Linked DNA regions of Saccharomyces cerevisiae S288C. The protein of the gene in region 1 purifies or fractionates together with the protein of each later gene. This does not show direct contact. Each region holds a gene or a part of one and is shown in the gene's direction. Other genes may lie near its edges.

Region 1 (3,956 bases):
TTTGGACTTTTGTTGTTTTGTAACCTCTAAAAGGGTTGCACTCAAGAAAAAAGGTTTTCCATATCGACTTATCTGAGTTTCTTTTTTTTGCTTTTTTTTTTTTTAGCCCATTTTTTTTTTGACGCATTAGTCGTTAATGATGATATAATGTCCACGTGATGACATTTCAATCTGCAACAATAGCTCGGCAACTGGATTACTAGCAGTCATACGTATGTCAGTCACTACACATATATATATATTAATGTTTAACTAATTTTTTTTTCTTATCTATCTGATATTTATTCTATAACTATATAAATTTGTCTCTTCACTTCTAAATACCTCTGTTAAAATAGACCTTTTCAATTGGCTTCCCATCCTTATCCTTCTTGCCATGTAGTTCAGGTTCTAGTTTATTTAAATGGATTGCTTGTCTTTGAGGGAAGATACCGAGTGCAAATGGCAAAGCTGAGAACATTGTGACTGAGATCAACCCCAAATTGGCCAAAGTTTGCACACCGAGAGACTTACCTTTGAGGACACCGCGTTGTAGTCTAACCAAAATCAAAGGTGGGATGACCATAGTTGGAGTGGCGTTAATCACTCTACTTAATGCAGTTTCACCAACTGCCATGAAGGCAGCCTTCTTGGACTTTCCGACTTCGTCACCGTTAGAGTCAAACACAGAAATACCCTTTCTAATTTCGTTGCCTCTCATTAGGAAGACGTTGACAATACCGGCACTGACCACGGCGGCAAATGGCACCAAACGGCCCAAGATCAACTTTGAATGTGGAGAAATGTTTTTCAACCTGGGAACTAGGTTATTTAGACCTAACGCAACACCACACGACGCAGTTACAGCGGCAGCGTAATTGGTGAGCAATTGGGACGTGGACATAGGATGAGATTTGTTTGCGTTAGCGGAATTAACGGCGACGTTTAGCGATTGATTTGCCCATTGCCAAAATACAGTCCCTGCCGTACCCAAACCAGGCGTCAGCATACCTACAGTAACGACTAGGTTTGATAGCACGTTGGAAGACATACGGAAGGGCAAAAGAACTGTCTTCCCTGTGTCCGGATGCACGGTGGAGTCCAGTTGTTTCTTGGCTCGCCAGAACTCCGGAGTAGTCTCTTTTAGTTCACCGTGACGATACGCACTGATGATTTCTCTAGCATGCGCCAGGTCCTTCTCAGTAGTTAACAACATAGTGGGGTCGGAAATCTCTGCGCAATGGCGGATTCTACCCCAATACGTGGATAAGTCATAGCGGGATTCGGGCAAATCGATGGGCCCTGGGACTGATGATGCCATATTTCTCTGCCTTGTTTATTTTTTTCTTTCGATGCTGTGTGGTTTTATTATTGCTAACTTGCAGTGGTCGACGCCTTTGAAAACTGTAAAGCTGATGCGAAGACCTAACAGTCTCTTATCCAATTACCTCAATCTGGTACGCTCCGGTACCGGACGCCAGTACGAAAGAAAAACTTTTCGTTCGTCTCGGGCACCATTGGTATAAAAAGCGCCGAGGCAGCGATCATTTTTCTAGTATTACTCTTCTTTCATTTTTTAGTTATCTTTGATTTTCGGTTCCGAAGAAGGCATGATACATATTAAACATGCCTTCTATTCACTGTGCCATCTTACATCCGTAGGTGATCAGAGGGGAAAAGAAGAGCTAGAGCAACTCCCACACTCATGAGCGTCCTCATACTGTTCTGGGCGCTTCTCACAGGTGCTTCTTTTAGTGTCTCCCATTGGCCCAGATCGGTAGCTGCGCGAGTGAGATATCTTTCATTCATTTATATTTATCTGTAGCAATAGCTTCCTTTACTATTTTATTCTTAGGGAGAACTTTAGCTTATTTCTTGCACAAGAGGGTTTGACAGTTTTCTGTTACCCGGCCAGTACTTCAAAAATTTTTCAAAAATTTTCTGAAGTGCTCATCTCATCGCAAACCGTAGGAGCAGTGAAAGGCATATGCTCATCTGTATAATTGCAAAAAGACATATTCTATGTTCGCAGAACCAATACGTTACCTAAAGTTTTAAAGACAATACCAAGGGAAACTGCACAAATTCAATATGACAGAAGATAAATCGCAGGTTAAAATCAGGTTTTTCACGCGTGAGAAAGATGAATTACTACATGTACAAGATACTCCAATGTACGCCCCCATCTCATTAAAGAGATATGGGTTGTCCGAAATTGTCAATCACTTGTTGGGCTCGGAAAAGCCTGTTCCTTTCGATTTCTTGATTGAAGGTGAATTGTTACGTACTTCATTGCACGACTATTTGACCAAGAAAGGTTTATCGAGCGAAGCCTCGCTGAATGTAGAATATACCAGGGCAATTCTTCCACCATCCTATTTGAATAGTTTCAGCAATGAGGACTGGGTTAGCTCATTGGATGTCGGCGACGGTTCCAAGCATATTATTAGTGGTTCTTACGATGGTATAGTTCGCACCTGGGATTTATCAGGTAATGTGCAAAAGCAGTACAGTGGTCATTCTGGCCCAATCCGTGCAGTAAAATACATTTCCAATACAAGGCTAGTTTCGGCTGGTAACGACCGTACTTTGAGATTATGGAAAACCAAAAACGATGATTTGAAATTAACTTCACAACAACAGGCACAGGAAGACGATGATGACGAAGTAAACATAGAGGACGGTAAGACACTGGCTATCTTGGAAGGTCATAAGGCACCAGTAGTCTCTATTGATGTTTCAGACAACTCAAGAATATTATCTGCATCATACGACAATTCTATTGGGTTCTGGTCTACTATTTATAAGGAAATGACAGTTGTTGATCCATTAGAAGATATAAACAATCCAAACAATAAAATATCCACTGCTGCTAGAAAAAGGAGAAAATTGACAATGAAAGATGGTACCATTAGAAGACGTGCCCCTCTGTCTCTGTTAGAATCCCATACAGCTCCTGTTGAGCAAGTGATCTTCGATTCTACAGATAATACCGTTGGTTATTCAGTATCACAAGATCATACCATCAAGACATGGGATTTGGTCACCGCGAGATGTATAGATACAAGAACAACATCGTACTCGTTGCTTTCCATTGCTCAATTGTCGACTTTGAACTTGTTAGCATGTGGGTCCAGCGCCAGACACATCACATTGCATGACCCACGTGTGGGAGCGTCTTCCAAAGTTACTCAGCAACAACTAATTGGTCATAAGAACTTCGTTTCCTCTCTGGACACTTGTCCCGAGAATGAGTATATATTATGCTCGGGTTCTCACGATGGTACCGTGAAGGTATGGGACGTCAGGTCTACTTCTCCGATGTACACCATAACAAGAGAAGACAAATCGGTCCAAAAGGGCGTCAATGACAAAGTTTTTGCTGTCAAATGGGCTGAAAAAGTGGGTATTATCAGCGCTGGTCAAGACAAAAAGATTCAAATAAATAAAGGAGACAACATTTTCAAAAACTGAGAAAAAACTGTTGTTGTTTTTATGTAGAATAATGTACTGATATACTTGAAATAAATTTGGTTTTGCCAACAGCTTTCGCAAATTTCTGTCACCTTCTTCTTTATGTAAAACGACATTACTTGCTAAAAAAAAAAATACTTCTATGATAATGTGTACTTGTATGAAACTTCTATAAATTTAAATTGGTGAATTTTATCCAGCTATCCCCCAATTTACTATTTGAATATATGCAATTGTGATCTGTCTTAAGACCTTTTCAAACCATTCTGGCGGAAGCATCGGTGGCCATTTCCGTATACGAATAACCGTCTTCATTATCCTTGATAGCTGAGTATAAACTATTGGAAATGGGTTCATTACGATTTTGCGCATGTTGCCCGTCCTCGCGATCAAACGAGGCAGGAACGGGCTGCGTATGGGTCCTGCGCAGAGATAGCCTTTCACCTGGTTTTTCTCTAGTCGAAGGGTCTGTTTCCATGGTCCTTAACGTGGTCATCCTTGTT
Region 2 (5,572 bases), on another chromosome or scaffold:
AGACGCTTTATTCTCTATATTCTTCCTTGTACATATTTTCAATAGCGGTTCATATTAGGCTCATTATGAGAAAAGGTTGGTGAGAAATTTAGCATATTTTAAACAATCATTTAGCTAGATGAATCAGAATGTTTTTCCGACAAATAGTAGCTCGCGTGGCGTAATGGCAACGCGTCTGACTTCTAATCAGAAGATTATGGGTTCGACCCCCATCGTGAGTGCTTTGTTTCTTCCGTGATAGTTTAATGGTCAGAATGGGCGCTTGTCGCGTGCCAGATCGGGGTTCAATTCCCCGTCGCGGAGAATTTTTTTTAATTGATAGTAGCAGGTACAGGAGAAAGAGTAAATAATAGAAAGCAAGGTACGTGATGGGAATTGATCAAACTAATATCGCTATACCTATAAGAATTTGCGTGTTTGTATACGTAAAGAATATATAATATATTGATGTGTGCGCTGAGGAAGGTAAGTCTACACAATTTATCCGTTAGCCCAAATTAATCAAACAGCATATTTTTTAGTCCACTCCTTAGCGGTGGCTTCATACTTAGCCTTATCTGTCTTGTAGATTTGAGCAATTTCAGGGACCAAAGGATCGTCGGGATTAGCATCTGTTAAAAGAGAGCAAATAGACAACAAAACTTTTGAAAGGGTTAGCGCCGGTGACCACTGGTCCTTTAAAATATCAAGGCAGATATTACCACTCGAATTAATATTCGGATGATAAATTTTGGTCGTAAAGTTTACCTTCGGTGGCTTGAATGGATAATCAGTTGGAAAGTGAATAGACAAAAAGAAAACGCCACCAGCGTAGGGTGAGTCTGAAGGACCCATAATAGAGGCTTGCCAATGATACAGGTCATCCCCTACAGGTCCTGCTGAACATGAAGCAGGAGGATCTCTTCGGAAAAAAGTTCAAAAAAGAAACTCATGTTAGTAATCCTTTTTCTTTACAGATCAAGAAAAATCATTCATTTTATTTTTAACATACCTCCCTAAATCACTTAATTCCTTGGCAATACGCTTGGAGGAAGACATTTTTAGTTTAGTTGAGGGTGGTGAGCAGAAAATGACTTTTCAAGATGGTAGTCAATAAGCAGTCCTGACCTTGGAAAATAAAACTCCAACCATCTATTAAAATCCGGGATACAATTATTTTTTATAATTTTGGGTCGGCTATCTTTGGTACAAATGAGTAAGGCGGCAGCCGCTTTATTACCCGCTCGCAGTGGCAACTACCTCCACCACAGCCATGCTTCAAAAGCGCTTGCTACGAGAGTTTACACCGTACTAGCACTAGCAATACATCTAGATATCTAATTGAATTACGCACAATATAAGAAAAATCGGTTTATGAGCCTAATGAATGAGTACCAAAATAAGTAGGCAAAAAGTACAGCCTCTCATGGAACAATGAACACAACCCTAGTATAATTCATCTGTACTTTGGGACTTTCTGTGTAAGTAAACCAAGACATAATTTAATATATTTGAGAAATCTATCCTTATCCAATTGGTTGTTGCAGATGATTTCATATAAGCAAAAATGTTGGTATAACTTTCACCACATGCAATAGCAGATCTTTTGTATAACGCGTATTGCCCAACATAATCTAAGATCAGATCATTAATAAGAAAATCTCATTTCCAAAACCGATTGGACATATACTGTTTAGTAATAACCGCCGATATGATGTTCTTCCGTTCTCTTGCCTCTGTATTCCGTTACCCGTTGCAGAATGAAAAATTTTTTCTTTTGGCGATGAGGTAAAAAATTATCAGAGATGCCAAAGTAATGGAGTTGCGAATAAGAAAGCATTATGTCGTACACATCGGAAGCGAAATTCTATAGTTTGATAAATTTCTATAGATATTAAACCTCTCCAGTGTCTTTGTTGGTACAGTAATCAAAAATAATGAGTGAGAACAACGGCAATCCGCTGGATTTGTCTTCACTAAGAAATAAGATTTCGTCAAAATTGCGAGACAATAACAGCAAAAAGGCGAAGAAAACCCACAAAGGCAAGGACGTGAAGGCCAGTAGTAATTCAAAGAAGGTAAATGAGGACATACGTCGTGAAGCACTAGCATTGGGTGCCAGCGAAGAAGATCTAAAATTGATTCAAGGATTAAGCGATGATGATGACGCTAAGAGCGAACAGGAATTTGATGCCGTCGCTGACGAGGATGCTGACGACAAGGGATTCAAGAACGATCTTCAAAATTTCATGAAGAATGTAGGATTTGACCAACACAAACTCGAAGATGTAGACGATGACGATATAGAAGAAGAATCCACTAGCTCCAAAGAATCTAAAATACCCGCTCAAGAGAAGGAACATGCACAATCAAACATTGCATCATCGACAATAGAGAAAACCTCCCAAGAGTCAATCGATAATGGCAGTGAACAAGAAGAAAACACAGTAGAAGAGGCTAATCTTAGTTCAGACCAAGAGCCAGAATCAGAATCTGCAGAGAAAGAAAAGAAAGAGGAGAAAGATGGAGGTTTAATTACTCAAACTACTATTATCTCATCTGACAAACTTATTATTCCTTACGATAAACCATGGTATGAAATTCCATTGGATCCTCAAGTTGGACAAAATGATGATGTTGAAGAATTATCCAAGGAACAGATTGAGAAACTTTTTGAAAGAGGTAAGCAAACGCTAGAAGCTGACAACCAAACTTACTATGAGGAGTTTACAAAGGACTCATCGCAGGCCAAGTTCATGTCCCAAATCCTATCGGACGGTACCCTCAACGATAAAATATCTGCCGTAACTTTACTCATTCAAGATTCGCCATTGCATAACACTAAGTCTTTAGAAACTCTGGTTTCATATTGTGGCAAAAAATCGAGAAACTCTGCTTTACAGAGTTTAAACGCTTTGAAGGATTTATTCTTAAATGGTCTTTTGCCCAACAGAAAGCTGAGGTATTTCAAAAATCAACCTGGCTTATCTATGATGCTAAACAAGAAAACTCTTGCAATTTTCTATTTCGAAGATTATTTAAAGAAACTGTTCTTTCGTGTTTTAGAAGTCTTGGAAGTGCTTTCCCACGATCCAATTATTCACGTTAGATTACAAATATTAAATCATGTATTTGATTTATTGACCAACCAACCAGAGCAGGAATTTAATTTATTGAGATTAGGTGTAAATAAAATTGGTGATATTGATTCCAAAGTTTCTTCGAAGGCGTCATATTTACTACTGAAGTTGGAACAAGCTCATCCGAATATGAAATCTATTGTCATTGATGCTATCGTTGATATCGCATTGAGACCGAATGCGGATTATCATACCACTTACTATTCTGTTATTACTTTAAACCAAACCATCTTAAAAAGATCAGAAGACTCTGTTGCTAATAAATTAGTAAAAACATACTTCACTTTGTTTGAAAAATTCTTGATTAATACTGATAAAGACAATACCAATGGCGTTGTTAAGAGTAACTCAAAGTCGTATGAGGAGAAAAGAAAGAAGAACTTTAAAAAGGGTAAACACGGTGGTAAATCTGTAAAAATCGAAAAAACGGAAAATGAAGTTTTAGATGAAAAGAACTCAAAATTATTCAGTGCTTTGTTAACAGGTATCAATCGTGCATTCCCATTCGCTCAGATTCCAGCGTCTGTCTATGAAGTACATATGGAAACTCTTTTCAAAATCACACACTCCTCTAACTTTAACACCTCAATCCAAGCATTAGTTTTGATTAATCAAGTCACCGTCAAAGCAAAGTTGAACAGTGATCGATATTATAGAACATTATACGAAAGTTTATTTGACCCCAGACTGGTGAACTCTTCTAAGCAGGGTATTTACTTGAATTTACTATACAAATCATTAAAACAAGATGCACTCAACGTTGAACGAGTAGAAGCCTTTGTCAAGAGAATTCTTCAAGTTTGTTCTCATTGGTTGAACGTCGGCACCATTACTGGTTTTTTCTTCTTATTAATCCAGTTGGCTAAAACAGTTCCACAAATAAAAAATCTTCTAACCAACACGCCAGTTGATTACGAGTATGAATCTGATGCAGAAGAGGAGCAAGGGGACAAGGACATAAAAAGGAAGGAATACGACGGCCGCAAGCGTGATCCAAAGTTCGCCAATGCTGAAAAATCTTCTTTATGGGAAATCAACAACTTCATCAATCATTTTCATCCTACTGTGAAAACATATGCAAACGCCTATGTGACAGGAGAAACAGAGCAAATAGCTAAACCAGACCTGGGTCTATTTACTCTATCACACTTCCTTGACAGATTTGTCTACAGAAGTGCCAAGCAGACCAATACAGCAAGAGGTACATCTATTATGCAACCTCTGTTTAGTGGCTCACGAGTTAATGACTCTGTCTTAGTTAAGGCATCTGATATTATGCATGACCAGGGTCCCGTGAACACTGAAGACTGGCTAACTAAAAAAGTTGAAGATATCAAACCTGAAGATAAATTCTTTTATCAATATTTCACTACCAAGAAAACCGCTGATGGAAAAGGAAAGAAATCTAACAAAGCATCTAATTTCGATAGTGATGACGAAATGGATGAAAATGAAATTTGGAGTGCTTTGGTTAAATCGAGACCAGATGTTGAAGATGATAGCGACGACAGTGAACTTGACTTCGCTGAAGATGATTTCAGCGATTCAACTAGTGACGATGAACCTAAGCTGGACGCAATTGATGATGAAGATGCTAAAAGTGAAGGCAGCCAAGAAAGCGATCAAGAAGAAGGCCTCGATGAGGATATTTTTTACAGTTTCGATGGAGAACAAGACAATAGTGATAAAAAACGTTCCTTCGCTGAAAGTAGTGAAGAGGACGAGAGCAGCGAAGAAGAAAAAGAAGAAGAAGAAAATAAAGAGGTATCCGCAAAAAGAGCAAAGAAGAAGCAGAGAAAGAATATGCTCAAAAGTCTACCGGTATTTGCATCTGCCGACGATTATGCTCAATATTTAGATCAAGATTCAGACTAGAAAATAATAATACATTAACTAAACACTTCGGTGTTGTAAATTAAATAAGGAAAACAGAATTTTGTACAATAAAAAACGGTCCAATACGAAACCTTGAAGCGAAAGACGCATATCAGAGTTTTGCTGATAACTCTACTTATGTCCGCTTTTCAACATTATTAGAGCGGGAGTAAACGGAAAAAGAGTAATGCGGAAATAGAAACGGATTTTAGCTACAACTATGTCAGTTGAAATCGCCGAGATTGCTGACATCGTGAGACGAAACTAAAAACGATGGAACCACGTGACTCCTATTAGAAATAAATAATCCAGAACTCATTTTTAACCATTTTGTTTATATAGGCACATTTGTAGCGACAATTTTCTGTTAGCTAATTGCAGTAAGCAAAACAAATTTGTGAATACTTGATTAATATTCTGTGAAAGATTTTTTAATTATGAGTACCAATAAGTTCGTTGTACGAATAACGAATGCGCTCTTCAAGTCATCACTGGCTAGCAACAGTCCACCTGTTTACCCTAAGAGGATTAGGCATTTCGAGATTTTACCCAACGAAAAATGGGTTATATGGGGACCT
Region 3 (3,160 bases), on another chromosome or scaffold:
AACAATATCTTCCCACTTTCTTCTCATTGAATAGCTAGAGTCCAATTTTGAGTTCACCTGAGTAATGACAACAGCATTGGGGAACATTACCAAAATGGAAGTTACCTCATTGGTATCGTTAGCATTCTCCATCTGAGGTATAAATATCTTAGGCTTAAACTTTGTGTCGGTTATTGACTCCATAAAAGTGTTCAATCTATAAGTGGAAAAAATAGTAAAACTATTAGAAGAAGAATCGAAGATAATCGTGGAAAGAATATAATATGTTTCATTGCATGAACTGTCGTAAATAGATGACAGGAAAAGTTGTGAACTTTCATCTTGTAATGGATGAGAGTCCCAAATCTTCAACGTACCATGAGCAAATGGATACAAATCCTGGAGCGACTCTAAAATGGCTTCGTAAATGTTTACATCAATCAATTTTGTTGGATGGGAATTCGTGGCAGACAACTGCCATGTTTGAAAAATTCCTTTGTTAGTAGTAATATATACTAACCTTGTCCCCTTACCGAGGATAGGTCCATTTCGTAATGAGACAACTGAACTGTTTGTATTGAAAATTTTGGACCAGATACCCAATTTGAAAGGTTTATTTAATAGTTTGCCTAACTTCAGTTGAGGTTTACCCATGGAATTTCTAATGGTTATAAAAAATATTCTGCCCATATTTGTAGAAAGCACTATACCAGCAGGTTCGCAGTTTAACATTAGGTCACACTTCTCTCCGCCCGAAGAGTTGATGGGTAATTCTAACTCGTGAGAGAATTTTTCAGATAACTTAAAGTTCAAATTATTTATGGAGTTGATATCCTCATAATATATCGCTTTGCTACCTTTGATAATGATAAGCCCTCCGGTTTCGTCCTGATCATTAGGATTCAGTGCTAATGGAGACTCATCCATTGTAGCAGGGAAAGTTAGTATGCACCTGGGCGCGACTGCTATTTCATCATTATCATCAGAACGAAATGGTACAGTTATATAGGGCGTATCCTTTTGAGTGGAGTGAATATTCCAGATGTAAACCTTCTTGTGGTCATTGACTAGTCCATATCCAATTTGCATATCGATATATCCATTCAATTCGTCATCGTTACTGAATCCGCTACTGTAGTCTGTTTGAAGGGTTTTTACTATGTATCTGTTATTTTCTGTGAAAACCTTGGAATTATCAAAGTGCGAATGTAACCTTAACTGTTGCTGCTCCATGGAAATGTCCATTAGAGAGGCCTGGCTTTCCTCTTCATAAGACAACTGCGCCAGGGATTCGTTTTCAACCACCGCAATGGGTACGCTAAGTTCCTTCCGCAAACGAAGATGTACTTTTTTTTCACTCATATGGCTATCCTAATGTACTTCACTTGAATTGGATGTAACAGTATGCTCGAGCTCCTCTAAACCTTATTCCTAAATGGTGTATGTTTTGGTTTATTCTGCTATTTTGATTCCTAAATCCTCAAATATATCGTTTTATACGATTTGAAAATTTTTCATTTTTTTGCGATGAGCTAAGGATCGAATTTTCTTATAGTGTAATGCATTATTGGAAAGTGATTTGGTATATCGATGAGTTGTATTGAAGTTATCATATCCAAAAGCGCAGGAGAACACTGGCAGAAAAAATGATTAGAACCGTAAAACCCAAGAATGCAAGAGCCAAGAGAGCTTTGGTAAAGAGGGAAGCTAAGTTGGTAGAGAATGTCAAGCAAGCGCTATTCATTCCAGGGCAAAGCTGTAACAAGAATCTGCACGATATTATGGTAGATTTGAGTGCCTTGAAGAAGCCAGATATGAAGAGGTTCAATCGTAAGAATGATATTCATCCTTTCGAAGACATGTCGCCACTAGAGTTCTTTAGTGAAAAGAATGACTGTTCATTGATGGTGCTGATGACAAGTTCCAAAAAGCGTAAAAACAACATGACCTTTATACGTACATTTGGCTACAAAATATATGATATGATTGAACTAATGGTTGCAGATAATTTCAAGTTGTTATCTGATTTTAAGAAATTAACATTTACTGTAGGGTTGAAGCCTATGTTTACATTCCAAGGTGCTGCATTTGATACACATCCCGTATACAAGCAAATTAAATCTTTGTTTTTAGATTTCTTTAGAGGCGAATCTACTGATTTACAGGATGTTGCGGGATTACAACATGTCATTTCCATGACCATTCAAGGTGACTTCCAAGATGGTGAGCCATTGCCGAACGTTCTATTCCGTGTTTACAAATTAAAAAGTTATAAAAGCGACCAAGGTGGTAAGAGATTACCACGTATTGAATTGGTGGAGATTGGGCCACGTCTAGATTTCAAAATCGGCAGAATTCATACTCCAAGTCCAGATATGGTCACTGAAGCTCACAAGAAGCCAAAACAATTAGAAATGAAGACAAAGAAGAATGTAGAATTAGATATCATGGGTGATAAATTGGGTAGAATCCATATGGGCAAACAAGATTTGGGTAAACTACAAACAAGAAAGATGAAGGGTTTGAAATCCAAATTCGACCAAGGAACTGAAGAAGGTGATGGAGAGGTAGATGAAGACTACGAAGATGAAGCGTCGTATTCGGATGATGGACAAGAATACGAAGAAGAGTTCGTCAGTGCCACTGATATTGAGCCCTCTGCTAAAAGACAGAAGAAATAAGACCCATAAACTTTGTATATTATATGATAATCTAAGAGAGGAGAATTCTATATGTATGTAGTAAGTACATTACAAATGATCTTTCTTTTTTTCCCTTATTTTTATGTATTCTGTTTTACCTATGCTTATTTGAACAGCCACAAATGTTCTATTTTTCTTTAGACAGTTCTACGTTCCTTACTAAACGTAACATGTTTCTCAACAACATTGCAATGGTAACTTTACCAGTCATTGGAACGTAAAGAGAAGCTTTTTCCTTGACATCATCGCTAAAATTTTTGGTGCATGCAAAATTGATGCAGACGGCACCTTCTTTGATGTATTCGGTGGGGAATTTGTAATTTTCACTAGGGACACCAGTGATGACCACATCTGAATCAAGAGAACACTTTTTCAACAGATCTTCAGAGTACTCCCCAAGGTCTTCCACATGATGCTTGTTTAATTTCAAACTTTCACCACGGGTGAATTTTTGAATGTTGTTAACGTCCACAGAGTAT
Region 4 (3,093 bases), on another chromosome or scaffold:
TATGGATCTCACAGGGTTTGGGTAGGTGTCATGAAGTTTAAAAACGACTTTCTTGATAAAGTACGATATATCTTCATTTTGTGGGCCCCTGACAAAAATTGTCCATAAATGAGTATGTTCGGCAGGAGCATTTGGTGGTTTAACGCTACCCATCTTTTTAGCCGTATTGCCATATATTATTGGTCTGCTCACGGAGAGAGTTTTTATCCTTTTGCTTATTGTCGGAGCCATCTCGCTTTCTTTGTGATGCCGTAAATAGGTGGTCACAAGTAATGTATCTATCCCTCTAGCTTTCGAAGGCTACTTGTTCAGTTGCACATAGAAGACATCTAAACTCTGGAAAAATAATCAATGGTGCCGAAGCGTCATCACGTCATCCGAATAGCGGATATTTCGAAATTTATAAAAAAGCTTTGAAAACAATCCTAGAAGTAAAGCAGTTTCGTTCAATATGTAAGACGTTCAATTAGTTGTACAAGAGGTTAAAATAGTGCTATAAATTATGGCTATCGAAAATATATACATTGCCAGACATGGTTACAGGTCAAACTGGCTACCAAAGGGACCATATCCACCACCGCCCACCGGTATTGATAACGATGTCCCGCTTTCGGAACACGGTGTTGAACAGGCACATGAACTGGCGAACTATATCTCTAAATTAGATGTCAAACCAGAAATGATTTTCTCCTCCCCATTTTACCGCTGTTTAGAAACTAGTAAACCCACAGTGGAGGCTTTAAAGATTCCATTATATGTCGATCGTGGTGTAGGAGAATGGTATAAGCCTGATAGACCCATTATCCCGGAGCCTGCTACTCATGAAGTTATGAGTAAGTTTTTTCCAAGCATGATCTCTCCAGACTGGGAACCTAGTATTATTCCTAGTAATAAGGGTGAAACAGAAGAAGATATTTTTGAGAGGTGCCATAAATTCTGGCCTGTCTTTATTGACAGAGTGGAGAGAAAATTTCCAAATGTAAAGACCATTATGATAGTTACCCACGCAGCCACTAAATCCGCTCTTGGTATGAACTTGTTGAAATTCTCCAGTGCCAAAGAGCCCATTGATAACAAAGGCACCTTTATAAGAAATGGAAGTTGTGCTATTGATAAATTTGAGCTGGTGAAAGGAGAAAATGAAAGTATACCATTTGAAGAGAGAGAGTGGAAACTTACAATGAATGGCAACACCTCCTTTTTAACTAATGGGGAAGAAATGAATTGGACGTTTATGAATGCCTTTGAGGCTGGTTCAGACGCTGATATCAAAGCGAGAAGAGCAGCTGAGAGCGGAAAACTAAAAATGGAGTGAAAACTAAAGTGAGTCTTGAATTCTGTACTTCTCATTATACACTTCTGCATTTGATTTTTATTTCATGATGAAGCTGTGTGAATATATATATATATATACATATGTCAAAGTCTAGTGTAAATTGATAGAATTAACAGTATCTTTTAATATCCCTAAACTTCAAAATTCAAGGTTCAACGATTGAAAGATGAGCTGTCTAGGTAGTAGTACCGAAACCTTTCGAGTTTTGTGCTATCTCTGAAAACTCATTATCCTGCTAAACCCTTTCTAATGTGCATAGCAGCTATTGCAACTTTAGCATCCTCATTACAGACGGCATAGCAGAGACGTATGCGGTTACCCCCCAGATTTTGCCTGTTTCTTTTCACTATGAAAAATTTTCCGCCATAAGAAAAAATGAAGTAGTGCATCGCATCTCATCTCATCACTTAATTTGAAGACGATTACCATTACTTTTAACTTCATTAACTACCTTTTCTATAGGGTTAAGTTCTAGAGATAAAATAACAGAGGAAAGAGATCGATATGGTAAAGTCAACAAGCAAAACTTCCACCAAGGAAACAGTAACCAAACAACCCACCGAAGAAAAACCTATACAGGAGAAAGAAGAGTTGGCTCTAGAAACATCGTCTAGCAGTTCAGATGAAGAAGACGAAAAAGATGAAGATGAAATTGAAGGTTTAGCCGCTTCTGATGATGAGCAGAGCGGTACACACAAGATTAAAAGATTGAATCCTAAGAAGCAGGCTAATGAAAAAAAGTCGAAAGATAAAAAGACACTTGAAGAGTATTCTGGGATTATTTATGTGAGTAGACTGCCACATGGGTTCCACGAAAAGGAATTAAGTAAATATTTTGCTCAATTCGGTGATTTAAAAGAAGTGAGATTAGCACGTAATAAGAAAACTGGAAATTCCAGACATTATGGCTTCTTAGAATTCGTTAATAAAGAGGATGCAATGATCGCCCAAGAATCTATGAACAATTACTTGTTGATGGGTCATCTACTACAAGTGCGTGTATTACCAAAAGGAGCTAAAATCGAGAAATTGTACAAATACAAGAAGAGAGTTCTAGTAGAGAAAGGTATCACCAAACCAGTAAAACAGCTAAAGGATAACATGAAGCAAAAACATGAAGAAAGGATAAAAAAATTAGCCAAGTCAGGTATCGAATTCAAATGGTGACTTGTCACTTCTCATCCACCCTGAGAAAAGGGTTTTGTAAGATAGAATAGGAGATATAGCAAACTTGGGAAACCATTTATATCATTAATTCCAGCAATATAGTTCCGTTTGTCCGTATTCAATGATATTTACATGATTGCTTTTACGAAGATTCAACGACCAAAATCACGGAGCGGGTAATAGCCTGGAGTTTCCGGATGAAAAATTTAACGGCCCAGAAAAAGAACAATAGCTGCAAAAAAGAAAGCTATACGAGATCGAGATAGTGAGAGAGGTTAGCATAACGAGAAAATTTTTGTCGCATTCGTGGCCAAAAAGCGATATTTGAGAAGCATTGTTATTATATCAATAAATAACAAATATATATATTGTCCTTTTTCCAATAACTATATAAAGAACAAGAAGCTTTTGAAACTTTCTCAAAAATTTTCGTTCAGGCTTCCTCGTTAATATTTAAATTCGATTTTCATTTTCTTCATAGTAAAGAAAATCAATCAACTACAACATAAAATATCAAACAATCATGCCTAAAGTTTACAGTTACCAAGAAGTTGCCGAACACAATGGCCCAGAAAATTTCTGGATTATCA

The links.
Region 2: the proteins of YTM1 (region 1) and MAK21 purify together in Saccharomyces cerevisiae (affinity purification with mass spectrometry; 6 studies listed by BioGRID). This does not show direct contact.
Region 3: the proteins of YTM1 (region 1) and RPF2 purify together in Saccharomyces cerevisiae (affinity purification with mass spectrometry; 9 studies listed by BioGRID, with this or other methods). This does not show direct contact.
Region 4: the proteins of YTM1 (region 1) and NOP15 purify together in Saccharomyces cerevisiae (affinity purification with mass spectrometry; 5 studies listed by BioGRID). This does not show direct contact.

What each region holds. Positions count from the first base shown.
Region 1 is NC_001147.6:830,743-834,698, forward strand, and holds YTM1 (Ytm1p), read left to right. Parts: upstream 1-2,070; coding exon 2,071-3,453; downstream 3,454-3,956. Other genes in the region: FSF1 (Fsf1p), read right to left, coding at 317-1,300; TPO4 (Tpo4p), read right to left, coding at 3,710-3,956. UniProt on the Saccharomyces cerevisiae protein: Component of the NOP7 complex, which is required for maturation of the 25S and 5.8S ribosomal RNAs and formation of the 60S ribosome.
Region 2 is NC_001136.10:568,733-574,304, forward strand, and holds MAK21 (RNA-binding ribosome biosynthesis protein MAK21), read left to right. Parts: upstream 1-1,916; coding exon 1,917-4,994; downstream 4,995-5,572. Other genes in the region: E2 ubiquitin-conjugating protein UBC5, read right to left, coding at 502-901, 992-1,038; YDR061W (uncharacterized protein), read left to right, coding at 5,432-5,572.
Region 3 is NC_001143.9:591,006-594,165, reverse strand, and holds RPF2 (rRNA-binding ribosome biosynthesis protein RPF2), read left to right. Parts: upstream 1-1,625; coding exon 1,626-2,660; downstream 2,661-3,160. Other genes in the region: NUP133 (Nup133p), read right to left, coding at 1-1,341; MTD1 (methylenetetrahydrofolate dehydrogenase (NAD(+))), read right to left, coding at 2,809-3,160. UniProt on the Saccharomyces cerevisiae protein: Required for biogenesis of the 60S ribosomal subunit.
Region 4 is NC_001146.8:417,236-420,328, reverse strand, and holds NOP15 (rRNA-binding ribosome biosynthesis protein NOP15), read left to right. Parts: upstream 1-1,840; coding exon 1,841-2,503; downstream 2,504-3,093. Other genes in the region: YEATS domain-containing protein YAF9, read right to left, coding at 1-231; YNL108C (uncharacterized protein), read left to right, coding at 503-1,315; CYB5 (Cyb5p), read left to right, coding at 3,027-3,093. UniProt on the Saccharomyces cerevisiae protein: Involved in the biogenesis of the 60S ribosomal subunit. Required for pre-rRNA processing and cytokinesis. Associates with the precursors of the 25S and 5.8S rRNAs.